Caenorhabditis elegans: one gene and its partners. The protein of the gene in region 3 interacts with the protein of the main gene of each other region in a pairwise test. Each region holds a gene or a part of one and is shown on either strand. Other genes may lie near its edges.

Region 1 (12,650 bases), on a different chromosome or scaffold from region 3:
GAAAAAATAGATTGTTACACGAAAAAATAGATTGTTACACGAAAAAATAGATTGTTACACGAAAAAATAGATTGTTACACGAAAAAATAGATTGTTTCACGAAAAATAGATTGTTCTAAAATAAGTGGCTCTGGCAGTTCACTAAAATAAGTGGCTCTGGCAGTTCACTAAAATAAGTGACTCTGGCAGTTCACTAAAATAAGTGGCTCTGGCAGTTCACTAAAATAAGTGGCTCTGGCAGTTCACTAAAATAAGTGGCTCTGGCAGTTCACTAAAATAAGTGACTCTGGCAGTTCACTAAAAATAGTGACTCTGGCAGTTCACTAAAAAGAAGTCTACGCATCGGGCTCTTGCGAGACGGCGACTTGAGTTTAATTGGATTCAAGGTCAACGGAAAATAAAATTATTTATTAAAAATCTAACTAAATCATTTATCATATTGTTCTCTAAGATGCTCTAATAGAGGCTCCAATCCTATCCGTTGTTGTGCAGAAACAGGAAATACAGGGAGATTCGGGAAGAGTGAAGAGAGGTGGTGAGCTTCTTCCTCCGGGCTCTTCCCTGATAAATCAATCTTATTGATTACAATTGTTGATGCTCGATCTCCAAGCCCTTTTTGATATCCTTCCAGTTCAACGCGGAGCATTTTGTATTGATCTGTCAGTGATCCAGTGGAATAGTCCAATACGTACCACAGGGATCTGAAAACACGATATGTTTAACCTTTTAGCATGGAAGAAGAACACGACCATTTGTAGATTTACTCAGCTCGTGTACTCCACGAGGAAAAGATTTCACAGTTTTTTTTTAACTATTAGAATTGGTACATGTTTAATTTACTGTTGAACTTGAACTTGAGCCAAAATAGGCTAAAATCTAGTTTTTCAGCCTAAATCTTATCCTCGAGGACTACACGATCTGCGTAAATCGACACAGTGAATGTTCCCTTACTCGCATCGTTCGATATGCTTCAAAAAAGAGATTCCGAGCCCTTTGTTCAAATGAGAATCCTCAATGAGCCCTGGAATATCGGCAACCGCGATTTGCTCGAAATCCTCATAGAATACAACACCAATATGCGGGTGGAGCGTTGTAAATGGGTACGAGGCGACTTTCGGTTTGGCTCGGGAAATTGCACGGAGCAGCGAACTGAAAATTGAGCACATTTTGGTCTCGTCGCGAAAATTATATGAAATTTCCAGAAAAACTCACGATTTTCCAGCATTCGGGAATCCAACCAGGCCTGCTGTCGCCATAACTCGCATTTCCACGTCGTAAATTAGCTGAAAAAATTTTATTTGAATTTTTCGCCCAATTCGGAGTGCATGTTCGGGATCAGCGCAAAATTTAGGCCCGGATCGATGTGCGACATGCCCGATGCCTACTTTGTGCCTACGGGTAGGCAGGCTGTAGGCATGAAGTAGGCACAAAGCAGGCCCGGCCTATTCTGGTCATGTCGCACATCATTACGATCCAAAATTTTACGCTCATTCCGAATTTTAACTCCAAATCGACTACAAACTGAAATTAAAAGAGATATGAACAAAACCTCTTCTCCTTCTCCTCCATACTCTGCTTTAAATGGTTTTCGGACCTCATTCGACACATAAAACTGATTTCCACGTCCTCCAACTCCGCCACGTGCCGCAATGAACATCTAAAAAAAGTGTTGAATGTTGTAAGTACGCTCCATCGAGAGAATCTCACATCATTTTCGTTGTTTAACTCAAAAATTGTGTTCCCATCAGCTTTGAATACGGTACCAAGAGGTACTTCAACTTCTTTATGGTCTGCTGATTTTCCGTGACATGATTTTGATCTGGAAAATGTAGAAATTAGATTTTTTACGATTTTTTTGTGGTAGCCGGATACCTGCCGAATTCTCCATTTTGAGCCCGTACGATTGAGTGAACTGTCGAGAGATCTTTACTACTGCGACTGGCTGAAAATTTGATTTTTTTTTAGAATTTGTAGCTTTAAAATTAATTTTTAAAAACTTTTTTTTTCTAAGTTTAAATTTTTCTCAATAAATCGCAAAGTTTTCGCGCTAAATTTGAAATAAATTTATATTAAAAATCAGAAAGCTTGACTGAAAATTGAATTTTCTATACATTTTTCAATTTTTCATTATTATTTTATAAAATTTTACCATGGAACGTAATTTACGGAAGATTAATCAAAAAACTGTGAAAATTCACTTCAACTGTTAAAAAGACTACTTTTTAGTGGAAAATCTTGAAATTTTAGGTGAAAATGTGTTAAAATATCGGTTTCCGCAGAATTTTAGAGTTAAAAAATTGTAAAATTTCACTCAAAAATGAAAAATTTACGACTAAAACGTATTTCCATTTTTGAATTTTTTTTTTTTCGTATGAAAAAAAACCAAATTTCACAATTTTCTTGAATGCTCACCGGTGTTCTATTAAATTTTTGCTGAAAAATCAATTTTTCACAGTCTCGGGTCCCACCACGAAAATCAGCTACCGTACCCGCTTATTTTTTTTCTAACTCACTTTTGATTTTTATTTCAAATTTTAACAAGTTTGGACTATGTAAAAAATCAAGGAAATCCCAAAAATTGCGGTTACTGTAGCTGAAAAGTTTTTTTCGTGGCGAGACCCAAGTTGGTTGAGTTTTTCGTTGAAAAAATTGATTTTTTCGTGCTTTTCCAATAATTCAGCATGCAATAAGTACCTCGAAAAACGACATGTCCCCCATGTCCACCATCACCACCATCTGGACCACCAAATGGTTTCCGATATCCACGAAAAAATGAAACCATTCCATTTCCACCATTTCCAGCCTGACATCTAACACGTCGATAATCAATAAATGAAGTGGCTTCTCCTTCGGATTTCGGCTTTTTCGGCGATAAAATTGGACGTTTTGATAGGACGGAGCACGCGGTTTTGGAGCATTTTTGCAGGGAAATTCGCATTTTTTTCCAGTAATTTTTTCTAAAATTTAATTTTGCAGAATTTTTTTTCAATTTTATAAATGAATTTTGATGTAAAATCTATATAAAAATGAAAAAATCAATAATTTTTTCAAAAAGTTGTCTCTAAGCCCCGCCTATTTTTCCGTGCAGCACTTTGAATTTTGTTGAAATTTTCAGAAAGGCGAAAAAAAATTTTTGCAGCGTTTGAAGACATTTTTTTTGTTTATTTTTATTTTTATTTTATAACTGAATTTTAATGTAAAATCCATGAAAAAAATGAACAAATCAATAAAATTTTATTGTCTCTAAGCTCCGCCCACTTTTCCGTGCCGCACTTTTCGAAATTTTCGGAATGGCGAGAAACGAAACTTTTTTGGTTTTTTTTTAATTGGAAAAATTTTAATTTTTAATGTTTTTTCAACTTTTGAAGACATTTTTCGACTATTTTTTTAAATAATTTTTTTTTTTGATTTTCTCCGAAAAAAACCGAAAAAATAGAAAATTTCGGATTTTGGCTGAAATTTTTCCACAAAAATCCTTTTTTTTCACTAGAAAATAAAGAAATTAATCGAAAAATTAGCGCCGAACCTGGAAAATGCGGCACGGAAAAATGGGCGGAGCTTAAGAATGAGCGCGCGGCAATTCAAATGCTCATCAAAATTAGCGATTTTTCTGGGAAAAATATGGAAAACCATCGAAAATTTTACTGTTTTGAAAAAATTCGTTTGAAAGTAATTTAAAATACATTTTCATTGGAAAAACAAAATCTCCAAGTCAGCGAGAAGGAGAAGGAACACGAGAAATATTGTGGACAATATATCAAATAAGCCGCTGAGAGACACAATAATTGGAGCTTATAGGCTATGTAGGTGTGAAAAAAAAACATTTCAACAAAAAAAGAAGCGAAATTGTTCGGCGGAGTACGTCAAACTGTGAATCAAGCGAGAGAGAGAGAGAGACAGGGAATTAGAGAAGACATGGTAAATTATTTTTGGGTAAAATTAAGTGATTTTAGCATTAAGAATTAAAAGGAAAAAAGGGAAAATTCTGTACAATTTCAAATTTGTATGAAAATTGGTGGGAAAAAATGAATAAGAGAGAACACACACTGGGATTACTGAAAGTTTTAGTATATGAAGAAAAGTTTTTAAAAAGCGGGTTTTTTTTCGAGAAAAACAGGAGGACCGAAAAGGCACAAACGACGACACATTGGGCTATTTTTAATGAAAAATTGGAAAATTTTCAGTGCGAAAACTTCAAAAAAGGTACAGAAATGACTGTGACAGTATTAAATAATAACAGGGGAAATCTGAATATTTCAGATTTCAAAAAAAAAAAAGTGGTGGGGGGACTGGTTTGAAACGAAATGATATCCTAAATACTACCCGGATACGTGAAAATTCAATGGAGATGAAGAAGAAAATGGGATTATTTGGGGAAAATCAAGAATATATTAGTGAGAAAGATTAGTTGTTGAATGAAGAGGTGATTGTGGCCGTGGACGAGGGAAAACTATTCCATAACTGCTCGGCCATCCATCATGAATTGTCCGTCGACTCCTCCTACTTCCATCACTTCATCGTCTGCAAAATTGGAGAGATATTATTTTTTTTAATCAATTTAGATTTTTTTAAAATTTTGGCATACATTTTTTAACCGAAATTTTTTTAAATTTTGTTTTAAAAATTTTTTTATGGGTTTTTTGTAAGAAATTGATATTTTCGGGTTTGTTTTCTCGAAAATTGGTTTTTTTTTTGATTATTTGTTTTTAAAAAGTTTTTAATGGGATTTTTATTTATTTATTTTTAGTTTTAGTAAGAAATTGGCATTTTCGGGTTTTTTTTTTTGTAAATCAAAAATTGGTTTTTCTCGGAGTTTATGTCGAAAATTGGTTTTCTAAAAGTTTCTGGTAGAAAATTGTTTCTTTTTTGGTTTTTATTTGTCTAAAATTACAATTTTTCGGTTTTTGTAAAAAAATTGATTTTTTGTTTCATTTTTTGGTGTTTTTCGTCAAATTTTTTTTTTGCTTTTTCGGATCAAAAGCCAACAAAAATTCAGAGAAGGAAGCGAAAATAAATTTTTGTTGGATTTTTCGGATTTTGGAGAATATAAAAATTCATCCAAAATCTGAAAAAAAAAGTTTCTCCTCGTGTAGTACACAACGTACCTTCTCCTTCTTCCTCCAACATATCCAAATCTACAGCCTGTGCTTCGACGGGCGCAAAATTTGGTTGAGCTTCTGGATCTGAAACTTTCGAAGAATTATTTAATTTTGTTTCAAAAATCTAAGCTCTTACCAGCCACCAAATCTCTCAACGCTTCTTGTCTCTGCTGCTCGGCGTCGTAAATCTCTTCTCGATCCTGAAAAAATTGAGAAATTAGAATTAGAAAATTAAAAAAAAATCAATAAATCAATACCGTAGAGTCATTCGAATCATCGCCATTCCGTTGAACTTGTGGCTCATTTACTGCGACACCGAACATTGGAGCTGGAGCATCAAGATTTCTTTGAATTATGGCTGGAGGAGCATTTGCAACTGCATCTGGAAAATATAATAAATTTTTAATTAGAAAAATTGTTTGAAAATTGTAATAATTATTCTGAAAACCTCAAAATCACCACCAAAACATTACATTTTATAAGGAGTTTTAGCGAAAATATGGCTAAAATCGCAAAATGTCCCAAATTTTCCGTGTTTTTGTCGTCAAAAATGAGTTTTTAATCGATTTTTACCCTATTTCTCGCATTTTCAGTCGATATGCTCAAAAATTGTGCTCTTTTATGCACCTACCGGCATAAGCTACCAAAATTCGAAAAATATGGTGTGAATTGAATAAAATTAGGAATGAGTAAAATAAAGCTATAAATTGATTCTACTTTTTGCTCTAAAAGGTAAAAAAAAATAAAACTTCAGCATGAGACTTGTGGAAATGTTCGAAAAAAGCCTAAATTACGTCTTTTCGAACATTTCTACAAGTCTCATGTTGAAGTTTAATTTTTTTAGGGTCACTTCAAATTTCTTAGAGCAAATATTTAAATTAATTTATCTTTTATCTCCAATTTTGTTCAATTATCACCATATTTTTCACATTTTGGTAGTTTAGGTGCACAAAAGAGCACAATATTGGTGTCTATCGATTGAAAATGTGAGAAATGGGGGATAATTGAATAAAAACTCATTTTTGACAGCTAAAAATTGAAAATTTAGCCATTTTTCGGCATTTTCACAAGAACTCCTTATGAAATGTGGTTTTTTGGGGGTTTTTTGAGGTTTCTGGAATAAATTTTAAAATTTACAACCAATGCCGTCTTTTTTTTGAATTCTTGTTACAATTTGGTGTAAAAATTTATGAAGTTTCTAATTTTTTTTTGTAAAATGTCCCAGAATTATTTCTTTTAATTGAAAAATCAATTTTTTAAAGAAATTTTTTTACAAGGTGAAATTTATAACATTTGTAAAACAGTTCCAATAAATTTTAAATTTTGAAAAATTATAAAAATAAAAAAAAGCTAAAATTGATTAAAATAATTAATTTAATGATATTTAATCCCATTTTTTCGGGTTTTTTCTCATTTTTCTTCGTATTTTTCGCAAGAATTCTCATATCTTGCTCACAATTATTCCAACTGGGCTCTCTTTGTTGCTGATGAGCTTGTGCATTCATGTGTCTACGATAATGTGCATGAGCCGTTCCAACAACCATCAAATTCGGCGGTTGCTGATCGTAATAATATTGCTGATCTTCTTGATTCTGCCGCATTCTCGCATTCATCATATGTCCGAGACGTGCTTGAACACGTGCATACCGTGCCTGCCGCTCATCTGCTGGAATCGGAGCAATCTGTACATCATCTGGTTGTGGTAGTGGCTCAGCTCCAACTGCTACAGCAGGAGCAGCTCCGGCAGCAGCAGCAGCAGCAGCTTGTTGTGGAGCAGGTTGTGGTCGACTTTGATGACGGAATATCAGATCATTATTGTTGAAATGAATCGGAAGTCCTTCACCAACTCGGCTGGGCAGAACAATCACTCTGACGTCATTTCCCGCATTTTCATTGAGTACGTTGAGGAGGTGGTTAATCTGAAATTTAATTTTTTTACAATTTTTTAATGGAAATTCAACTTTTTTTCAGTGGTGTAGCCAGCAAGATAGCAATTTTTCAAGGCAGAGCATCGTTTTGCTTCAAAGAAAAAATCCAAAATAGTCTCAAATTCAAAAAAAACCACCAAAGAAAAAGGAGAAAAACCGCTGAAAAATCAAAAATCCAACTTCTAAAAAAGTGATTTTTCAATTTTGGCTGAATTTTGAATTCCCTCCAAAATGAGAACCCCCGACCAATTAACGACTTGCTCCGCCCACTTTTGGACCAATCGAGGAGCTCGAAGATGCTGATTGGTTGGGGAGTTCACATTTTGGAGGGAATTCAAATATGGAGCCAAAATTGAAAACTGGTGTTTTGAAAGTTGGATTTTCATTTTTTCGCAATTTTTCTTGTTTTTTGTGGTTTTCCTGAATTTTAGACTTTTTTTTCCGTAGTTCTTTTTTTAACGCGATTTTGGCAAAAAAATTCTTTTTTTAAAATAAAATCCGCATTCTTCGGTTTCAACACTGATTTTGATCGCCAAAAAAAGAAAAAAAAGCGTTAAATTTGAACATAATTTAATTTTTCGCTATTTTTCGCATTTTTCCGAAAAAAAAAACGAAAAACCGCGCCGCAGTCTTGCAAAACAATGCTCCGCCTTCTTTTCACTGATCCACTCCCTCACATTATGAACAGCGGGAACTCCATCAGCATTGGGCACATCAGCAGCTCGGAACTCATAGACATGTGCTCCAACTACGACTCTTCCTTGATTGATGATACCTGGCGGCCCACGGACTGGACCATCTTGAACTGGAGCAGGCTGAGCACCTCCTGGATTCAAAAGCTGGGGAATTATATGACGAGCTTGATCTGGATTGAGTGGAATCGGACGTCTGATGCCTGGCGGAGCTGCTTGTGGTGCATTTGCTTCTGGAGCTGCTGCTCCTGCTGCAGGTGCCGCTGGAGCAGCTTCTAATGCCGGCTGGGCGGCCGCCGCGGCTCCCGGAGCAATTGCTGGATTCACAATTTCTTGTCCATTCCTGCTGGCTCTTCGTGTTCGATTTCCACTTGATCTTCTACCAATTCGATGTTTCAGTCGATCATCTCCATATTCACATACAACTGCCTGCTTCTTTCGATTCAGTGCTGACAGGAATTTCACCGCTTCATCGCCACGTTGAACTCCCGGATATGTGCAATTTCGGAGGAGTACCAACTCGACGCCGAGCTTCTCAATGGCACGTTCAAGATTGTCGACATCACGCATGTAGAATGCAACGTTCACAAATTCTATCGATTTTATACGCCATTCACGGACGTGCACTGAAAAAAAATCGAATTTAAAGGATATTAAAATAGAAAAAATCATAATTTTTTTTGCATTTAACTTTTAAACGCCAATTAACGAGACTTTTTTCGAATCTGTGATGTGATTTCTTGTGTCGATTTACGCAGGCTCGTGTACTCCACGAGGATTTCCAATTTTCGACGAAAATTCTTGATTCTCTAGTATTTAAATCACCGAAAAATTAAATTTCTAATAATTTTAAACTTTTGATGAAATTCAACATTTATCTACCCAAAATTCTCTAAAAATCCAATTTTTCACTTATTTAAAGGTTCAGATTGATACAATTCAACATTTTTCTACCGAAAAATTAAAAAAAAAACAACTTTCAGTGATTTTCGAGCTGAAAATTGCTGCTATTCAACATTTTTCTACACAAAATTCTCTAAAAATCAGATTTTTAACTGATTTTAAGCTCAAAATGACTGAAAGTCACGATTTTTCATTAGAATTCAATTTTTTAAAATTGTTATTGTCCAGTGCAACAAAGGTTTCGCAGACTTGCAAAATACTAACCAATGCCTCTGAGAACTCTTCCAAAATTCGGATAGTTTGCTGCAAATGGTCGAATGTCGCATTTCGAGTGAAATTGGAGCACATATTTGTGTGATGACGTCATCATAACCGATAGCCGATCCGGTGCCAGCCCAGCAGCATACATAAACTCAATTCCTCGAAGAAACGTCGGCCCACTCGTCTTCAGAAGCATTCGTTCTGTAGCCAACGCTACCAGCGTCTTGACCATCGTCATTGGTGTCACTGATGATTGATCGCTGGCTGTTCGGCGTGCCACCAACGGATGATTTTGTTGTGCTGGTTGCGGTGGTGGCGGCGGCGGCTGTGGCGGTGCAATGATTATGTTGGGAATGATGAAAAACGTTTGGCGAGGAGCTCACCGACCGACGGGTCCTGAAATATTACATTTTTAATGGAAAAAATTGAGGTTTCTGAGAGAAAAAGGTGGTTAAATTAGAGAAAAATATAACAAAAGAGGGCAAAAATTGATGATAGATAACCGTACGTATTGTTAAAGGCGCATAGGTGTATTGATCGGATGGGTCTCGACGCGAAAAATTCGTATGGTAGCACATCACGAAGATTGCTGCTTTTGTTTCTTACAAAATACTATTAAGAAGCCTTTTTTCTTTATTATTTTTGCTTCAAAACTACAGTACCCGGTCTAGAAACGTCAAAAATTATTGTTAAATGGAAAAATGTGTGCGCCTTTAAAGAGTACTGTAGCTTAAAACTCTCGTTGATTGTGGAACTTTTATTTTATAGTTTTTCTAACGATTTTTAAAAGTCAAGTATTACCGGTACAGAGAGTGTAGATAGTTAGAGAGTGACAGACATCCGCACAATCTCGCGTTTGAATAATACCATTTGGAATGTGAGAAAAATTAATACCTTAAGACAGGTAAATAAACTTTTTCGCAGCGAGACCCATTTTTAAAAAATCGAGGAAAAATTTCGAGAACGAGGAGCCAAAAAAAAAATCGGGAAAAGTGGAATTATCAGAAATTTAAAGAAACGTGAGCTCAAAATGGAAAAATTGACAATTTCTAGAGTTATTTTCCAAAATTTTCTCCAAATTCTACACAAAGTCGAAGGATTTGCCACCCTAAAATCAATCAATTCCTGCAAAACCGCGAGGCCGAGGACATGAGTGTCACTCTCGTCGTCTCCACCACATACACACAAATGCCGTAATGTTGGAGCGTCGTTTGCAGCAGAGGGGAAAAATTGGGCAAAAAAGGGAACAGAGAGTGAAAAATCTCGTGAAAAAGAGAAAAAAGTGTGGTCATGATAGGACGATAACAAGTGCGATAAGGCGAAAATTGTGGGGTAAAACGCAAAAAAAAGAACGGTAAAGTGCAAAGATATTTGAGAAAAAGTCGATAAGAAACGACGAAAAAATTATTCAAAAAAAAAAAAAAAATGGCCGCCCTAGGTGGCGGCCGAAAAGCTTGCAATCTATTCATTACAACTAATATTTGAAATTAAAATAAATTCGAAAAAAGAGGAAACCGAAGAAGTAAAATCGATATGATGGCGCGAGTATATCGAAAAAAAACACAGAAGGAGAAAAAACACGATCACAGGCCTAAAATTTGCCTAATTTCGACATAAAAAGTACAAAAAAACGGCACCAGTCAATGTGGAAATGACGAGAAAACAGGGAAATCGAGAACAAATGACAAAGAGAGCGACAGAGAAAAGAGAAACAGAAAACTTGAATTTAAAAAGTGAATATAAAAAGAGCTTGATTTTTTCTTAACACAAATTTAAAAATTACATTAAAATATTTTAAGCCGAGCAACATCAACAACAACACAGTAACACAGTCACACAAAAAGCTCTGATATTTCAAGCAGAAAACTCTATAATCGATGATTCCGATGAAGACGTCGGAGAGCCGGGAATCGATGCATCTGATGACGTGGCAGTTGACTTCTCACGAGCAAATCGGAGCTCGAGTTGCTCTTCAATGAAAATTCGCAAATTTCTGCATTGGGAGTCCGAAAAATGATGTTCGCGGGAAAGAGACTTCGCGAGACGGGCGGCTTGTGTGTTCTGAAATTAAATTAATTTATTCATTTGGCTAATAAGATCTCAAAAATTGACTTTAGACTAGTAAAACTGGTTTAAAACAGCCAAAATGTTGTTTTAAAAGCTTTAAATTTTGCACAAATAATGCATAATTTGGCTTTAAAACCCCTAGATTTGGTATGAAACCGCTAAATTAGTTTGAAAACCCTTAAAACTCCCTAACTTTGGCTTCAAAACTGTAAATTTAGCTCAAAACCGTAAACTTGGCTAAAACCACTGAATCTGTATTTAAAACCCTGAATTTGGTTTAAAATTTCGACATTTTTCTATAAAACCTCTATATTTGGCTTTAAAACTATTAAATTTGTCTCAAGAACCCTAAATTAAGCTCAAAATTCTCAAAAGTTGGCATTAAGAACCCTATTATCTAAATTTAGCTGTAAAATCGCAATTTTTACTTTAAAACCGCTAGTTTTGGCTTAAACTCTATACATTTGGTTTTTAAAAACCTAAACTAAGCCCAAAAAACCTTGAATTTGACTCAAAAAACCACAAAAAAATCGAAATATTCTATCGATTTTCTTAAAAACAGTATCTTCACGTAGTGGGGAACAAAAGCCATAAATCGTATCACCTTGATAAGCGGCGGGGGGGGGTCTAAGACTAAATTTCATCCAAAAACTCGTGATGAAACCGAACCGACCGAAAAATAAGTGATGGGAATATCAAAAAATAACGGGAAAAACTAATTAACATGAGATTTTTTATTTTTCCCCTCTAACCAGTGGTGAAGCAGTAAAGCAGTACCCTGGGCACTCCAATCGTCTTCTGTTCTCCGGATTTCAGCGTCAAAACCAACTCGAAAAGGTCTTCATTCGAATTTTCTGAATTTTTTGAAGCGGCTTCCTGAAGGCTATAATTGGCCAATACTATGCAAATATCATCGACTGTCGGGTGAGTTCGTTCGATTCTTCGGCGTACTTGTCTCCGTACATTTTCATCAAATGCTTTCTGTTTCTGTTGAATCGGACAACTGGCTTCACCGCCTCCTGATGCTCCTTCGCCTTCTTCTGAACCAGTGTCTGATTGGGATTGTGATCGGGAAGCTGAAAATGGAGTTTTTAGAATATTCCTGGAAAAACTTGCTTTAATTACCTTTCAAAGCTGAAAATTTCTCTTCATTTTCCTTTTTCTGCCTTCTCAAGTGTGGCGGAACATAGACGTTCGACTGAGCTTTCTCTTCACCATCCTGTGAACTATCACTGCTGCCAATTCGTTCGCGAATCTCTGATTTTCTTTCTTCATGTACTCGATTGTACTCATCGCGATCAACTTGATTGCGTCTAATAAATCGAAGAAATCCGTGATTTAAGTCTATTCTTGGCTGATGTGGTCGCGTCATTACTGAAAATAAGAAAATTATAGGGGAAATTTCGGTACGAATGGAGAATACTGACTGATAAGCTTCAAATACACTTGGAATTGCAGGAAAAGTACGAAAATGTAGTGGGAAAACGTTTAGTTTTAATCGATAATCAAGAATTGTTTTAAGGGTAAAAATGATTTTAATTGGGTGTATGAGAACTTTTCATGTATTCCATAGTTTTCACCTTTAATTTATAAAATTTTCAACGTTTAAATTGAAATAAAAATTCTAAATTTCAACAGAAAAAAAAAAAATCCTCGAAAATCGGTTGGGAACTCGCAAAAAATCGTCACGAACACCTGAT
Region 2 (10,132 bases), on a different chromosome or scaffold from region 3:
TGACTGCCTTTTTCATCTTACAAGCACTTTCTGGTTTTTGATATACGGTTTCTTCGTCTCATGTTAATTCTATTTTGATTGTATTACCAATGGGTCTTCTTTTTCAAGCAGCTAAATTATTTTCACTGTTCGGGTGATTAGAAAACTTTAACAAATAAAATGATTGTCTGACAGAAAAATGTTTATTCTTTACGGGAACAAAACTACCAGAAGAAAATTGGGATAGGCCGATTAGAAAGTAAAGGAAAGTGGTGGAAAAATGACTGTTTTAGTTGTGATTCGTGTGAGAAAAATAGAAGTTTGTAGGGAGAGTTTCATTGGAAAACAACCCATATAGTCCATGAAGTTTTAGGGAAAGGAAGAAAATGACAAAAAAAAATAAAAGGAAATAGATATGAAGTTGTAACATTACGACAAGAAGCATTGGATGGGAAACCGAGGGAAAACGTTCTACTCTAAATATATTGATTAAAGGAAATATCGAAAAAATCGAAACAGATTCATAAATTATATAAACAATCCAGGTAAATTTATCGGGGTGAGTGAGTGTAATGCAATGATTTGACATAGAAATGCGTATAAGTACTGGTGTTAATGGGGTATCTACCATCTTTTCTTGTAGTCATCGACTGACACTCCTCCTGGTCCGTAGGCAATGACAAGGAGAAGTCCTCCAATGACGGACATGGTTTGGAAGAAATCGTACTTCATGAAGTCTCTGTAGAAGCGGTCGGAAGGAATGGTCCACCTGAAAAATCAATGTTTCAATTATGGTTAATCAAGCGTCAAATTGTTATAATTGGTTTTTTTGTTTTGATTAAAGTGGTTATTCAAGTAATTTTGCGAAATGTATTTTAATACATTTTTGACGTCACAGCTGTATTAAAATACAAGTTTTGTGTATTTCAATACAGTTGTGACGTCATTTTTCTATACTTTTTAATTTTCCGACACTACTTGAATAACATCATTAAGAGTGATCTGTTCTTCACTGCGGATCTGGGTGTCAATTGCACTGGCTAGTTATACACCCAGTGAGCTTTAGTTCGAGTCACACTTGAGCCCGGGACTGTGGCTGATAATCCAGAATCTAGAGGGAGCACTTGAACCAGTGACCTCATGATTGCTAGCGGCCACCAGTACCGACTGAGCTATCCCGATCATGTTGTGATAATTTCAGATTGTATAGTTTCGTTTCCACATCAAATACTTACCAAGCATTAAGCCAAAGGTTAAGTCCGAAGAGCCAGATGACAAGAACAATCGCGGAAAGCTTTGTCTTGTAACCAATTGAGACGAGAGTGATGAGAGCAAATCCAACAACAATCTCCAAAACTTGCATGAAGGACATCTCAAAATGCATCAAAGACATGAACATGAAGATAAGAAGAACACGTCCGGCAAGAAGCATGTACGATTTTGGCTTGTTCGAGTCTCCCATTGTTGGAACTCCGGCGAACAGGGAAGCCTTCTCTTCCTGTGTCTCGGCAAGAAGGAGCAAAAGTCCTCCACCAACGGCAATGTTTCTGAAATTTTACGTTTATTGCGAGTTCAAAGGAAACAAATGATTACCTGGCCAAGAACTTCAAGTCCCAGAGAATATGGTAAGCGATGGTTTGGAGAATGACAATGCTGGCAAGAATTCCACATGCGACCAACACCTTCTTGCGGAGCATGATCATTAAAACCGGGATGAACTGTCCGAAGAAGTTGTAGATGACGAACAAAGTTGCGATGAACCAACCGCAAGACCAAGACTCTTGCATGAACTGTTTTTGATCATCCCATTGGAAGTACATACGGATTCCATCTTCAAGGAATGTGGAGACGAGGCAGAGGCGAGCAATGTGGGGTAGGTAGGTCCTTGTTTTGCGGAAGAACTGAAATTCGCAAGTTTAAAGTTCATAGTTCATATAATAGTTTAGAGGTATTACGTACATCTTCAGCGGCGTCTTCTGCTTTCGCCAGCATTTCGTTCTGACCACCTGGAGCCCGGAACTGGTTCATTTTCCAAGAGCTGAAAAAATAGGTTTGGAAAAGTGTAGTGTAAATTAAGAAAAAAATCGGAAAGATGATAAGAAGTTGATAAAAAACGAGACGGGCGGTGACGACGAACAAAAATGCTGGAAGAGAATGAGTGGAAGAGAAGAATCGAAGGATTAGATGGTGGATTGAATGAATGACTACAAAATGGAACACGTGGCATGTGCACTTTACGAAAGATGTGTATTGCTGTCTGCGTCTCTCTTACGATTGACGCCAGTATTAGAGGTCAACGGATCAATAGTATCTTTTCCGAAACACTACACACAACTGTTTCGATTTAATATATCTTTTGTGTTCATTGAGAATAATAGAGGGACAGATCGGATTGAATGAAAATGTAATCAGACAAGATGAGATAACATGAGAAGAGATAACCTCTCATCAAAAAGGTTGTAAATACTATGGCAGTGGCGCATTAATTTAATGAACGAAGAGCTAACTAGTCTAGATGCTATCAAATATCGAGAGTAGTAGAGAAGACATTTATTGCCTTTGTTGGCGCAAGCAGCCTACGTAAATTTCCCATTTTCTGGGTTTTCTGAATTTCCAATGAGCCACCGCGGATGACGTATTTAACAACAAGTACACACACAAAAAATCGGATGACATATGAAAAATGGAAATTAAAATGAGAACAATCGTCGCCAAACATAACATCTCTCCAGGTAGGAGGAAAACCGTCAAAGCTGCACAATGTCAACACACAAGGCGGTCACGACTTTTTGTTTATCAAACTGGCCAACAGATGGCCGCGCCGATGAATGGTGGATATTTGGAACGGAATTGAAAATTTTTAAATCTTTAATGATACACGTTTTAAAGCTGGGTTTTAAGTGTATTTTGAGCAAACGTTGGGTTATCTATTTTGTTTTTAAAGTTTGACAAAAAGACGTCAGCTTTCGCTGAATACACTGGCAATGAATACACCGCGTCACGTCATCGTATACACAGAATTGATACTGAACTTGCGGAAATAGTACAGCGAAGTCATTGGGTAAATGAGTAATGTACAATAGAGAATGGAAATTATTCTTTATCACTTCCGCTACAGTTGTGTAAAAACTAAGCTAGGGAAAAAACCTTAAACTGGTTGAAAAAAGCGGTTCAAAAGTAAGAGTTTGGATGTCAACGGGCATAAGTGACGGGCGTTTATGTGAACGACTCTTTCCTAAACAGGTTTTCTCCGGACAAATGAAAACGAAAACATAAGCGACGAGAAAAGAAGGGGAACTGAACCGAAAGGGGCAAATGGAGGAAGAGGAGGCACACGAAATGTAGAGAGACCGCGTCGCAGCCGCACGCGAGCTGATGTGGTGGTTGTGGTTTGAAAATAGAAATGACACTCTCGAAAAGGAAGGAGAAAGAGAGTATATCACCGCTCCCGAGTATCACCACCTGCCAAGTAGGTGCCATTGAATTCAACCATTTTTATGAATGAATTATGATTTAAAATACATTAGAAGTTGAAGATAATCGAAAGACTACAGAAAAAACGCAAAAAAAGATAAAAGTAATGTTACATAAAGTTTTCGGTAAAACTGGTTGAGCGAAAAATCACAAAAGATGTTTGTTTTTACGAGAGCTGCAACTGGTTCCACGTTGTTACATGTTGTGAGGTAGCAAATGCGTCAGCAGCCACCACTTGGCGCGTTTCGTGTGCGTTCCCCCACACCAAAAAAGGGCGCATTGTATGCAACATTTGCGTTTTTTCATTGATTTTCCTAATTTATTACAACGTGAATTTATTTTTAAACAGAAATCAGTACACTAACATTCACAGTCTTGCAATAAATGCTGCACTGACAAACAATAAGTTTTGCACTGAAAAAAATCGTTTTTTGTCATTGCAAAAAATTTTCAGTTTGCTGTAAAAATTAAATGAAACCTTTAACCCGTTTTCTTATAAAAGAAAGTTTTAATTGTCTTGTTCAACAAAACATTGAAAATTTTCGCAACGATTAAAAAAGCAATAGATGTGATATGAACTTTTCTATTTAAAATTGAAGAACATTGTGTTAGTTTCTACTTTTTTTTTAACATCAATTATTTTTGATCAATGATCATTTAAATTATTGGCTTTCTTCAAACTCGCTCCAAGCAAATTAGCTCAATTTTGCCAACAACACATCCTCCGTTGCCAACCGACACCCCACTTTCGCTGCTGCTGCCCAAATACTCCGCTTCTCTCAGGATTTTTCGACCACGAGAGTACATTTCAGTAGATGCGAGATGGAATCTATCCTATTCCTGACAAATAATGTGAATTTCTTGCCGTTAGTCTTGCGCTAATGGAAATGTGTACTTTATATTCTATGCAGATGAAGCTTTAAAGATAGGAAGGCTTAAGCGTATTTCTTATTGATTGAAACGTGTAAAAACATCATTTGCAAATTTAGAATAATTTTTGAGAAGCAAGATATGTAAATTGAGAAAAGAATGTTCTTCATAAGTCCAATTCTTAATTTTGAAAAAAATTATGTTATAGATACCACCTGAGACCTTTGAATTAAATTGTAAATTGTACATTTTTATCCCTGGTCTTATACTTTTTCATATATTTTTTTCCTTTTTCATATTGATGCACCGCTCATAAAACTATCACATTTTATTATTTTTAATGCACTCATTCTACTATAAATCTGCAATTTCCAAGATGGCATTTGCCCGCGCTCTTGGTGTGATTCAATCTGTCGGTCGAGGCGCAGGAATCAGTGAGCAGAGTGAGCTCTACGATCGTGGTCAGACATTCAGCATTAACGGAAACAATTATCGAGTGGAAAAGGTAATAGCCAAAGGTTAGTGGCCATAAATGACAATTTTCGAAGAGAGCTTATGTTTTGCAGGCGGTTTTGGAACGGTGTTTCTTGCGACCAACACCAAGGGAAAACAAGTCGCCGTGAAGATCATGCTGAGCCACGATGCAGCCGCGACGAAGGATATTGATAATGAAATTGATATGATGAAGAAGCTCCAACACGAAAATATTATTCAACTGTTTGATGCGTCAGCTGAAAGCAGAAGTTCAAATCGGTCCGTGAAAGAGTACAAAATATCAATGGAATATTGCAAATGTGGGTTGAATTTTTTTTGTTGCAAACTCACTCTCAAAAAGTATATTGTTAAAGTGGAGTACCGAAAGAAATCGGCGATTTTGTCTGAAAAAAGACGCAAAATGGCCCAAACCTACCGAATTTTGTGTAATTTGTTATTACTAATTTATTACTTGTTGATTCGTTGATTGAGATGTTTTTCAGTCAGTTTTTTTTCAATTTTCAGAATGTCTCATTACAAAACTGGATAGTTTTGGGCCATTTTGGGTCTAAAAAAGCAAAGTCTCCGATTATGGTACTCCACCTTTAATGTACATACAATTTAATGTATATAACTAAATTTTATTTCAGTTTCAATTGCGGATGTGCTTCTCAAGTACAAAGAAGTCTCAATTGACTTTGTCGTTCGCATAATCTACTTTACAACAAGAGCCCTAGTATATTTGCATTCCGTCGGCGCCATCCACCGAGATATCAAAGCAGAAAATTTGCTTATAAACGGAAATGGTTGGTCTTTCGTTGCTGATTTTAGCTAAAACTATTTTTCAGGAAAACTAAAACTATGCGATTTTGGAAGTGCTACAACAAAGTCCATCGAGATGGCACCACTATCAAATTCCGAAAGATTAGCGGTTCAGGAAGAGGTCATTCCGAAATAAATTTTAAATGAAATTGAAATCTAATTTTCAGATGTTCAAATACACAACACCTATCACCCGATCCCCAGAAGTTTGTGATGTCTACTCAAATTGGCCTATCGGAAAACAACAAGACAACTGGGCAATGGGGTGTTTGATCTATTTTGTTGCGTTTGGAGAGCATCCATTTGATGGATCAGCGCTGGCAATTATCAACGGAAAGTACAAGAAGCCACCACCGGTTCAGCAAAACCAGTTATCAGCGTTTGCAGATTTAATTGGTAAGGAGTTTTCTGCTGGGCGTAAAAATAATAAATAAAGAAATATAAACCCAACTTACAGCAAAGTGTCTGACACCCAATCCGGATGAACGAATTACTGCTGCAAAAATTGAGGAATACATGAAACTAGCAATGCAGAAACAACCAAAACTAGCTGCAAAAACTGATTTCACGGATATACTCGATCTGATGAATGTTCAACCGGTACAAGCGGAGCAAAGTATCGAATCGCAAGCTGCAAAAGGATTCTTTACAATGCAGGACAAACTATTTTCCAATTTGACATCACTCAAAAATACAGTTGTACAGCAGACGAATAAAATGGGATGGGGAATGGAGCCAACAAATACTACACCACGCCCCGGGCACCCTTCAACATCTCCGAAGCTTGTGCCAAAAACACATAGATCAAATCAACAGCAAGAGAGTGAGTGAATGAATTGATTGAAACTTCTCTAATGCCAGTATATTTTCAGAAAACGCACCACCGAGACCACCCACAACAGCAAGCCCTCGTGCAGCCCCAGTTGCAACATTCAAAGTTTCATGGCCGACTGATAGTTCTCAGAATGATTCTGCAAACGATTGGGGAGACTTTAGTCAAGCACCGCCAGCGGTGAATGTTTCGAAAAAAGACGTATTCGATCCGTTTAGCGAGTCAGCATCACACAATTTGTCTGCAAAACATAGCGAAGATCTGTTATCCTTACAGAATTGGCCAGGAACTGGTAAGATTTAGGACACTGAAAACTGCGGAAAGCAATTGAACAGCAATTGAATTCCAAACGAATCCTATGTCATTTAAAAGGGGACCTTCAAACCAGATTAAAATTTTTGATGATTTGTACGGTGCTTAGATGAAGGCAATAAGGCTACTTCCTGTCAAAACTTGGAAACTTTCTCCCAAACATTCTGAATATATTGAAAGCTTTTCTGTGAAAATTTTGCAAGTGTCTGACAACATTATATGTTTTTGAGCAGCTACGAATAATTTCCAATATATTTCCCTATGTTAAAAATAATTTGTCTTCAGCTGAGCACAAACCAGAGGTACGATCCCAATCTTCACGAGACTTGTTTGACTTTGACGACCTGATGCTCCGACACACGACACCTTCCGCCGAATCTTCTCAAGCTGGTACGGTTTGTTCCTCTACGCAGTTATCATTTGCTATGTATTCATTTTGTTACAACCTCCTCTTCATGAATCACTAAATGATTCATCAAAGGAATCAGCCCAAACCAAATGATATCCTCTTTTCAAATCTCATTTCCTTTTTCCTTTTTCAGTTTTACAACCAATACGCCAAGTGGAGAACAAGAACTTGACCAAAGTCGATGTTTCAAAAAACGGAATTGGTTCGTCATCCTCTTCTGCCAGCCTGGATGATATGGTCAGCGATATGATGAAAATGTCAACCAAGAAATAGATTAAAATAGTAAAGTAGTTCAAAAATTATAGTTATTTATCATATTTTCACTTTCTTTCCCGTCCTGTGAATGTTTTGTACGAATTTTGCCAATAATTGAAAGATGGAAATGTACTTATAACGAGTATCTTCTTCTCTTCAATACTCATTTTATAAATCTTTCAGAAAAAAATCCATCCTCATTCCTTCATTTTTTTGTTTCTCTGTAAATAAAATGTATCCTAAATTATGCTTACTTCTTAACTTGTACATCAAAAAATTCAAATGTTTTATCGTCTACGAAAAGTAATAAATCAAGAAGAACACATTGTTCCGAACGCAATGACCTACTTGTATCGGGGTATCTCCAGAATGGAATGAATCGATCCAGCATACAAATGTCCAACCAACTTCTCGTATTCATACTTTTTCTTAGCGTTCTAGCGCCCACGCTATCCATCTATAAGTCAAAACAAAAACCGAACTTGTTGTCGAAAACTGTTGATAATAGTATAACGTGCGACTTTTCGATTCACAAAAAGGGACCTTATGGACAAGTTGTTTCAGGTATGCTTTAGTTCTGGTGTTTGAAAAAAGTTTCAGAAAATAACAAATTTGAATTTAAAAAAAAAAGAAGTTTGTAAAAAACTACAAACATATACAATGTCTGTCAAACAGCCTCTGTTATTGTTTCAAAAAGTTCAAAAATTTCAGGAGCATCTCTTGACGACGAGATTTACTATAAAATAAAGTGTAAGCCAATAACTGGAAATTGCCTCCAAGTTGTAAATTGCACATTGAGCTCGGATGAGCCAGGTTTCCAGCCATACCCTATTATTGATGATATGGGATGTAGCCTTGAAGAGTCACTGTTCAAAAATGTTCAGGTATCAAGAATTTAGGAAATTTGGAGAACAATATCTACAAAATGTCTATTTTCAGTATCCAAACCACTTTGAGGCGGGAATCTTCAATCCCTTCCCAATTCGGTTCCGTGCGTCGTCTGCCGCCGTTGTCTTGTTCTGTGTAACAACTGTGGTTCCAATTGAACATGGGCAGTGTACTCGCAGAAAATGTCAATAGATGAAGTTTCATGTTCATTTACTTTTCACTTCTGTGATTTTATTTAACAACTTCGATTTTAAATCTATGGTTATCTGGTGTTTTGTCATTTAAAACATTTTAAAGTACACGTTTTCATTGAATGAATAACATGCATATCACAATCGGAATTGTTTTTTTTTTTCATTCTCTCTGTGTACTTTCAAGCCAGACAAACATTACGCACGTATTCAGAAAAAAAGTGAAAAAAAAACGGTTTATGCAAATGTATCAGAATACCATGCAAACCAGCTGTAGTATTAAAAATTTGTTATATATATTTTTTACTTTCACTCTCTATCTATTTTTTTCTGTTTTTTGTCGGCCTTGAACTTGAACTACCTTTTTCCAATCATGAAGCAATGAAGCGAGCGTGGATTTTTTTGTTTTCCGCTGTGATTTGCTGTTTCTATCATCTCTATCCATGAATTGCATCACCGGATTGGAGGCGAAGTGTCCTACTATAACCGGAGTAATTCGATCGATCGATCAACCCTGCGCAAGCGAAATTTAGAGAATCTCCCTATGCGCTTGTTGAATGGAGATATATTAGAAATATGGTTGGAACACGCGGATGCGCAGACGAGTCTCGCAATTGACCGGTTTTTAGGAAAACTTTTCCCCCGCTTACCTCCGGACGTTCATCCTTAATACTGTTATTTCTAGAAGCGTCAGGCGACCTTTTCAATAAGTTCACTAAACATGAGTATGTCGCAAGGCGCATCATTTAATCACTTGATCCAGTCTTGGATCGTAGTTGCTTCATGCTTCATGACCCACCAAAGTGAAAGACTATATCATTTTATTCACCGTTTCTTATCATTTTCGTCTCTTTCTCACTAAATCGGTCACCGTGATCTTATCCTTAACCTCGTTCTTTATCTTTTCAATTAGGTGTTCAATTTTTTGTGATCACAAAGCCGTTTTTCCAGATGAAATGTTACTTACTTTTTCTGTTATTGGTACCTGTAGTATTATCAGAGCGAAGCAAAAGGCAAAGTAAGTTTTATTTTTAGCGTCCTTGTAAACCTAAGCAATCTTTCACAATTTTCAGTTTCAATTGATGACATTATATCCGGCGCATTAAGTCTCGTGAGACCGATCTTTGACACTTCAAAACCTATTCAAAACGAAGGAATGCTTAGAAAACCAGTGAGTTAAACCAGTAAGCTTAAACCAGTAAGCTCAAAATCAGAGTCAATTCCAGAACTGATCGAATTAGGTGATATAAATTGAATCACCAATATTGCCTGTAAGCTTCTTTGCAAGCTTAAACGGTGAGGTAAAACAATCTGGGAATTCGATTTTTAAACCCAAAATAGCTAGAAACCTCCGAATTTTGTAATGAGACGTACTCAAAATTCCTCAGAATTACTGAAGGCGGTTATAAGTACTGAAAAAATGACTGTTTTAAAATCTCCAATTTTGCAAACTTGACAAAATCAGAGCCTAAATCAAAAAACAGGACGTAATTACAAAATTACGCAATAAAAACTTACATCCACAAATGGTCGCGCAAAATTTCTAGTAAATCGAGTAAAATTTGAGATTTTAGTGAAAATTTACATTTTATTCAAAATTTAGAACCGCCATACCGTTTTTGAAAA
Region 3 (8,074 bases):
TCAAAATAAATTTTATGGCCGAAAACAGAAGAAATCGAAGATAAATAATATTTGGGTTACTGTACTTCTTAAAGGCGCATCGTTTTGAAAATATTTGGTTCGTGGCGAGACCGGTACAGTACTTTCTGCTAATATTAATAAGCTCGCGAGCCCGAGTTGCTAGGCCAGATTGTAATTTTATTCACATATTTGAAAACTAAAAAAAGGAATAAATCATCTGAAAATGGATATGAAACATCTCATCGTATCCCGATTCTCCTACTGGAAAAATCCAATCATCATTAATTCATTCATCCACATTCACAATGTGTTTCCCTTTTTTTCCTCTTCCCATTATTTTTGACGCCTTCATCTTCAAACACCCGCCCACTTGTGTCTTCTCACTTGGATCCACTTGACGCCTTCTTGTATATAAGTCAACGTCATCATTCTGATTCTCAACAGAAGTTTCTGTTTTCCTCTTCTCAAAACATGGAGAAATTCATTGTTGGTGTAGCTGCGACTGCGTCCACGTTGGCATGTTTGGTGATGGTTATCACTATTCCTCAACTCTACAATACTATTTTGGAGGTAAATTTTCAAATTTAATTTTAATTTATTTATTCATATTTTTATGTTCAGGTTCATGATGAAGTACTCGACGGAGTCAGTGTCTTCAGAATTGAGACAGATGCTGCTTGGACTGATATGATGGATATTCAAATCACTGTTACACCACCATCAAAACCACGTGTGAATCCATTCAATTCAATTTTCCGTCAGAAAAGACAAGACTTCTCCGGACTTCCAGCTTGGTGTCAATGTGAACCTGCAAAACCAGTATGTCCACCAGGACCACCGGGACCACCAGGAGAGCCAGGACAACCTGGAAGTGCTGGACCACCGGGACCACCAGGAGAAGACAATACTGCTACATTTGCTCCTATCACGTGCCCACCAAAAGATCCTTCATGTGTCAAATGTCCAGAAGGGCCTGCCGGGCCTCCAGGACCAGAAGGGCCAGCTGGACCAGCAGGATCCGATGGTCAACCAGGCGCGCCAGGAGATGCTGGAAAAGATGGACCACCTGGACCACCTGGACCAGACGGAGATTCTGGACCAAATGGAGAAGCGGGACCGAATGGAGAACCTGGAGCACCTGGAAAAGACGGAGAAAAGGGCAAGGGAGAGCCAGGGCCAGCTGGACCACCAGGACCTCCAGGACCAGGAGGTCCACCTGGAGATGCTGGAGGCGCCGGAAGCGATGGTGCTCCAGGACCACAGGGACCACCAGGACAAGATGGAACTCCAGGAAATGCAGGACCAGACGGACAGCCAGGATCCCCAGGAGGGCCAGGATTACCAGGAAACGATGCAGCTTACTGTCCATGTCCTCCAAGATCAGCTGTTTTTGTCAACCGTTTTGCCCATTAAATATTCTGATATCAATAAAATTTATGAATTTCATAACATTTAACTTTTTAAAAACGCAATCTCCAGTTCCTGAAATGAATTTGAGAAGGGCAACTCATTAAAAAATGTTGTTGAAAGTCTTCAGGGATCATGCCAGAAACTCAGAAACCTTTTCAGCACTCTATTCTTCCCAAAATGATTGAAAACTATTCTGGGATGATGCAAGTGAATTTCTCGTCATTTCTCGACAATTTTTTTGCAATGCAAGTGTGCGGAGAAATGACGAGAAATGACGTGAAATTCGCAATTTCTCCGCATTTCTCGACATCCACACATACCGTAGTTGGTGACGTTGTTGGCGGCAAATCGCGGCGAGACCCGCTGTGTCGATTTACGAGGATATATCTAATGTTAGTTTTTCGCAATAAACTTGGTTTTTCTGTCGTTCTTGTTCAATTTTCGTGATCTTTTCGCAGTTTTTACTCTTTTTCATGTATATTTATTGAATTCAATATCGTACTTTTCAATTCTCTGCGCAGTCAAACGTCATTTTTAGTTTTATAGCTATTTTCGGTGGCTTAAAGAAAAAAAATTTAAATTTTCCTTTTCAGAGCTCGATATTGCTCCAGTCTGGAAATGATTTGTTGATGTCGTCAGCGCGATGAATTCCGTCACATAAAATATGTACAAAATCGTCAATAACGATCAGAACAAGATATTGGTCATCGCGTAAGTTCAAAAAGTGAATAGCTGGATTATGAATATAATTTCAGAAAGTCAAATGCTCAATCTCTGCGGAAGACTTTTCTACACTCGTGCCTTCCGAAAATGTCGCTCTCTCAGCCTTGGTCGCATAGTTTTGAAATCTGTCAAGGTATCCCGAATGGTTTTCGCTTTAGTTTCATTCTTATTAAATTATAGAACACAATACGCAGAAGCGCATCAGCTATTCACGGCTACATCGATCAATTGGACGTCTCCGTGTATTCCTAACAGATGATAACTCTATATTGAAATCAACAAATAAATTTATTAAAATGTATATTTTAGTATTTTCCACAGTTATCATGGCACAATCATACTCCTGGGCAAAAAAATACAACAGTCGATTTGGCTTGTTCATAGAAAGTCAGTACTTCCAAAATGTTCTAGCTCCGCAGGCAGCTGAAATATGAAAAACTTGTCAACTAAAAAGTTGTTAGAAATAGAATTGTCAACAAGTTACATAGTGTATCTTTTTGCCATCTTGCATGGCTGAGCAGGTAGGAGCGCCTAATTATGAGTCAAATATCACTAATTTTGACTGATGATATCTCCGTACTCTGCACAGAAAACAATAAACTATCAAACCTGAAACATGTTCCATAACAAACTGAAAAAGTTTGTAGTTGACAATTTTTTGATATCTTGCATGCCCGATGTGGGACATGACTTCGAAAAACTGTCATAGTAGGTAGATCAGTTAGAGGAATAGAGGTTTTTACAGTTTCTTAGTTTTCGAAAGCACCACATTTGGCAAAAAAGTACATAGATACAGTTAGGGAAACATATTTTTACAATATCTGATAAATATTTGACAAATTTTGAAAAAAAAATTTTGGATTTTTTTTAAAATAAAAAATCCAAAGGGTCCCCCTTATGAAAATTTTCTAAAATTTTTTCGAAAAATTTTTTTGAAAACTTTTCTAAGTTTGTTCATATGTTATAGAAAAATGTAAATTTGAATGTTTTTTTTAAGTTTCGATGTTCAGAGCACGATTTCAGACGAAAACCTGGGGTTCAGTAGAACCCCTAAGTTCAAAAAACGCATTTCCTTTGGATGCGTATATCTTTGTTGAAAAATTTTTTCTGACAAAGTGATCAACTACAAAGTTGTTTATTTTAATCTAAAGTACAACTTTGTAGTTGATGGTTATTCTTCAAAAAATTTGATGATCGAGATATGAACAGAAAAAGACGAAGAAAATACAGGCATGAAACTGCCGCAATTAACACAACTTTATCGACCATCAAATTTTTTGAAGAATAACCATCAACTACAAAGTTGTACTTTAGATTAAAATAAACAACTTTGTAGTTGATCACTTTGTCAGAAAAAATTTTTCAACAAAGATATACGCATCCAAAGGAAATGCGTTTTTTGAACTTAGGGGTTCTACTGAACCCCAGGTTTTCGTCTGAAATCGTGCTCTGAACATCGAAACTTAAAAAAAACATTCAAATTTACATTTTTCTATAACATATGAACAAACTTAGAAAAGTTTTCAAAAAAATTTTTCGAAAAAATTTTAGAAAATTTTCATAAGGGGGACCCTTTGGATTTTTTATTTTAAAAAAAATCCAAAATTTTTTTTTCAAAATTTGTCAAATATTTATCAGATATTGTAAAAATATGTTTCCCTAACTGTATCTATGTACTTTTTTGCCAAATGTGGTGCTTTCGAAAACTAAGAAACTGTAAAAACCTCTATTCCTCTAACTGATCTACCTACTATGACAGTTTTTCGAAGTCATGTCCCACATCGGGCATGCAAGATATCAAAAAATTGTCAACTACAAACTTTTTCAGTTTGTTATGGAACATGTTTCAGGTTTGATAGTTTATTGTTTTCTGTGCAGAGTACGGAGATATCATCAGTCAAAATTAGTGATATTTGACTCATAATTAGGCGCTCCTACCTGCTCAGCCATGCAAGATGGCAAAAAGATACACTATGTAACTTGTTGACAATTCTATTTCTAACAACTTTTTAGTTGACAAGTTTTTCATATTTCAGCTGCCTGCGGAGCTAGAACATTTTGGAAGTACTGACTTTCTATGAACAAGCCAAATCGACTGTTGTATTTTTTTGCCCAGGAGTATGATTGTGCCATGATAACTGTGGAAAATACTAAAATATACATTTTAATAAATTTATTTGTTGATTTCAATATAGAGTTATCATCTGTTAGGAATACACGGAGACGTCCAATTGATCGATGTAGCCGTGAATAGCTGATGCGCTTCTGCGTATTGTGTTCTATAATTTAATAAGAATGAAACTAAAGCGAAAACCATTCGGGATACCTTGACAGATTTCAAAACTATGCGACCAAGGCTGAGAGAGCGACATTTTCGGAAGGCACGAGTGTAGAAAAGTCTTCCGCAGAGATTGAGCATTTGACTTTCTGAAATTATATTCATAATCCAGCTATTCACTTTTTGAACTTACGCGATGACCAATATCTTGTTCTGATCGTTATTGACGATTTTGTACATATTTTATGTGACGGAATTCATCGCGCTGACGACATCAACAAATCATTTCCAGACTGGAGCAATATCGAGCTCTGAAAAGGAAAATTTAAATTTTTTTTCTTTAAGCCACCGAAAATAGCTATAAAACTAAAAATGACGTTTGACTGCGCAGAGAATTGAAAAGTACGATATTGAATTCAATAAATATACATGAAAAAGAGTAAAAACTGCGAAAAGATCACGAAAATTGAACAAGAACGACAGAAAAACCAAGTTTATTGCGAAAAACTAACATTAGATATATCCTCGTAAATCGACACAGCGGGTCTCGCCGCGATTTGCCGCCAACAACGTCACCAACTACGGTATGTGTGGATGTCGAGAAATGCGGAGAAATTGCGAATTTCACGTCATTTCTCCGCACACTTGCATTGCAAAAAAATTGTCGAGAAATGACGAGAAATTCACTTGCATCATCCCATTACTGTAATTTTTGAAAGCTTACATAAGAGGAAAATGGGATTACGATTTTAATCTCGTCTATTGGCACAAGTAATATTCATTAAATTCTTTAAAACGTTCGCCGTCCCTGTACATGGTCTTAATAACTGTTGACTTTTCTTATATATAAATTTGTTCAATAACCTCATAACATAGTTAACAAGGTTTATTTCAAAGAACCAACATTGTAACAAATTGATTACCAGTTAGACTGGGTTGGAGCGTTGGCCCACTCTTCGGTGGTCTTGGTCTCGGCAGTCCAGGTAGCGGTCTCAGCGGCCCAATCGTCAACCTTTCCTCCTTGGGTGGTGAAGTCGATGTCAGTTGGTTGTTGGTATTCTTGAGCCTCAGCAACATCAGCGTGAGCTCCAGTCTCCTCCTTCTCGGTCTCAGTTGGGTCACGGTAGAAGTAAAGATCTGGCATGATTTCCTTTCCTTCGAGGACGAATCCGGTTTGACGGGAGATCTTTCCACGGAGAATGAGGATCTCGCGAGCGAGCATCCACCACATAAGTCCGATTGAGCGTTCTCCCTACAATTCAAATACATATTTACATTTTTTATAAATTAAATATATACCTTGTTGTTGCATGGAACTCCGATGTCGATCAACTTGAGTGGAGACTCGGTGTTGACGAAGGAGATGACTGGAACTCCGACGTAGGAAGCCTCAGTGACAGCCTAAATTTTAAATAATTAGAAAAAACAACTATTTAGAAAAGTCTTACCTGATGATCGATACGTGGGTCAGAGATGACGAGAAGTCTTGGCTCCTTGAAGGTCTTTTGGATCTGGTTGGTAAGACATCCTGGAGAGAAACGTCCGAAGATGGCGGTAGCTCCGGTATGAGCAGCGAACTTGAGAAGAGCACGCTGGGCGTATGGTCTAGCCGAAACAACGACGACATCAGCTGGGTTCTCAACAGCGGCGATAGCGCGGGCAGCGAGAAGAAGCTTCTCCCAGGTCTTCTTGACGTTGATGATATTTGGTCCTGTAATGATAATTGTTATAATTTTATTAAATAATTCACAAGAAAAATGAATTGAATTTTTTTTAAACTAACCGTCAAAACGTCTCTTGTAGACGTATTGCTGCATTTGGAAGTTAAGATTGGTGGATCCCAAATGGGCCTGGGTAGCAAGAAGCTTCATAACATCCTCCTCAGTGAGGGCGGAATGAGCGGCACCGCCTGACATATTACCTTAAAATTCAAAAATTAATTTCAGATCAGTCATAACCAAGAAAACAAAATAAACGTTAGGACAGAAAATTCAAATTAATTAAAAATTATGCTGAATAAGAAAATTACATGCAAAGCCTTATTTTCCTCATAGAAACAGTTGAATAACATATTTTTTAATTGAAAACATAGCAAAATTCGTGGTAAAATTTGTCAAAACCTTGGAAAAAATCGAAAAAAGAACATTTCCCGATGCATTTTCCTATTTCTCGTTGCCGACAACGTATAAACGTTGAATACTCAGTCAACGAATTTGGCTGCTGGCTTGGACTCTCGCACGGAAGAGACGCGTGTGTAGATTTACGACGAAAGCAAAAATTAATTAAAATATTGAATTTGTCATTTTTGATGTTTTTTTCTTAAATATGACAATTTTGAATTGAATTACGGAAAAATTTATTAATAAATTCAGAAGCGAACATCGTTCCTTAAGGGTAAATTGATTCTCAATTTATTAGTTGTTGCCTTATCAGAAAACTGACTTCGAAATTTTTCAGATATTACCACAATGCGCACAACCATCAAGACATGAATTCACCGGGAGTATCAGCAAATTTCTTCATTCCTCTCAGGTGCATAATATGGGGATATAAAATATTAAAGAATTTATGTGTTCAGCTTTGATGCGACGTCACTAATCAAATATAAGCTTTCTGATGATCTCCTAGCAAGAGTCGCTGCATCAGGCTCCTTGCGTTCATCTTCATGTAGATCAGCTGTTTGGAGGGTATTAGTTTCGGCATTTCTAAATTAGTCTTCAAAAGTCAATTGATTACAGCTTGTTCTTCGATGTTTGCCGTATGAAACAAGTGATTGGGAAATAAGCTTATCACGTAGTCGGAATCTTTACCGAGCTCACAAGGAAAATCATTTAATTGACCCACACGATACAAAGTTTTCTCAAGATCCTGAATTCAACAATCCACTTGCCTCTATTGAGCAAAATCCATGGAATACATTTTTCGAGGACAATGATCTTCGTGACATTATCGGCAAAGATGTTTCACGAACTTTTCCGGAAATTGAGTTCTTTCAAAACACAAGTATTCGGCAAATGATGTCAGATATTCTTTTGGTTTATGCAAAGGAGCATCCTTTTGTAAATTATCGTCAAGGAATGCACGAAATTCTGGCACCGCTAATTTTCGTGATATATTCGGACAATGAAGCATTTCAACATGCAAAAGAGAATGATGAGTTGAAAATGCTAACGGTGGAAGAAGAAGATATTTTGAATTGCTTATTTTGTAAAGAATACCTCGAACAGGATAGCTAGTGAGTGAATAAATTTCAATCATTATTGATAATATATTTTTAGTAATCTGTTTTGTTCGGTGATGTTAGAAGTATCAAGATGGTATGAAGAACCAACAGTCACTGAGAGTCCAAAGCGTCCAATTCCAAAGGAACCGTACATGAGGGTGCAAGATTCCGCTCCTGCATCTCGTTTGATGGAAGATCTAATTGATATTGGAAATCTTCTACACGAAATCGATCCCACCCTTGCCAAACATCTTAGTACTCTTGATATACCACCACAACTTTATGGAATGTGAGTTATTTTATTTTTGAAAATATTTAATTAAAATATTTACAGTCGTTGGCTTCGCTTATTATTTGGCCGAGAACTTCCTCTACACGATTTGCTTTTTCTATGGGATGTACTTCTGATTGATCGGCCAATTGCCCCATTAGCCAAATGC

What was found.
Region 1: the proteins of rpsa-1 (region 3) and M01E5.3 interact in a two-hybrid assay, tested with the Caenorhabditis elegans proteins (one large-scale study listed by BioGRID).
Region 2: the proteins of rpsa-1 (region 3) and gakh-1 interact in a two-hybrid assay, tested with the Caenorhabditis elegans proteins (one large-scale study listed by BioGRID).

Annotation. Positions count from the first base shown.
Region 1 is NC_003279.8:13,277,219-13,289,868, forward strand, and holds M01E5.3 (RNase NYN domain-containing protein), read right to left. Parts: upstream 9,282-12,650; 5' UTR 9,122-9,281; coding exon 8,887-9,121; intron 8,346-8,886; coding exon 7,705-8,345; intron 7,019-7,704; coding exon 6,556-7,018; intron 5,482-6,555; coding exon 5,357-5,481; intron 5,300-5,356; coding exon 5,236-5,299; intron 5,190-5,235; coding exon 5,106-5,189; intron 4,522-5,105; coding exon 4,451-4,521; 3' UTR 3,673-4,450; downstream 1-3,672. Other genes in the region: M01E5.2 (Mitochondrial ribosome-associated GTPase 2), read right to left, coding at 428-701, 952-1,149, 1,213-1,283, 1,550-1,657, 1,708-1,819, 1,873-1,942, 2,695-2,938; M01E5.4 (uncharacterized protein), read right to left, coding at 10,738-10,944, 11,728-12,026, 12,076-12,322.
Region 2 is NC_003284.9:5,778,706-5,788,837, forward strand, and holds gakh-1 (Protein kinase domain-containing protein), read left to right. Parts: upstream 1-4,699; coding exon 4,700-4,841; intron 4,842-4,889; coding exon 4,890-5,117; intron 5,118-5,447; coding exon 5,448-5,603; intron 5,604-5,645; coding exon 5,646-5,740; intron 5,741-5,786; coding exon 5,787-6,015; intron 6,016-6,076; coding exon 6,077-6,442; intron 6,443-6,491; coding exon 6,492-6,743; intron 6,744-7,048; coding exon 7,049-7,153; intron 7,154-7,305; coding exon 7,306-7,445; 3' UTR 7,446-7,750; downstream 7,751-10,132. Other genes in the region: sft-4 (Surfeit locus protein 4 homolog), read right to left, coding at 604-748, 1,215-1,526, 1,573-1,880, 1,939-2,007; F46G11.6 (ZP domain-containing protein), read left to right, coding at 7,823-7,991, 8,139-8,311, 8,367-8,507; F46G11.2 (uncharacterized protein), read left to right, coding at 9,458-9,524, 9,580-9,677.
Region 3 is NC_003281.10:4,747,720-4,755,793, forward strand, and holds rpsa-1 (Small ribosomal subunit protein uS2), read right to left. Parts: upstream 6,333-8,074; 5' UTR 6,328-6,332; coding exon 6,195-6,327; intron 6,123-6,194; coding exon 5,860-6,122; intron 5,813-5,859; coding exon 5,711-5,812; intron 5,664-5,710; coding exon 5,331-5,663; 3' UTR 5,288-5,330; downstream 1-5,287. Other genes in the region: col-89 (Nematode cuticle collagen N-terminal domain-containing protein), read left to right, coding at 472-570, 622-1,413; VB0393L.2 (uncharacterized protein), read left to right, coding at 2,075-2,121, 2,166-2,266, 2,314-2,567; B0393.8 (uncharacterized protein), read right to left, coding at 4,159-4,412, 4,460-4,560, 4,605-4,651; rbg-3 (Rab-GAP TBC domain-containing protein), read left to right, coding at 6,900-6,943, 6,990-7,098, 7,150-7,646, 7,690-7,923, 7,969-8,074.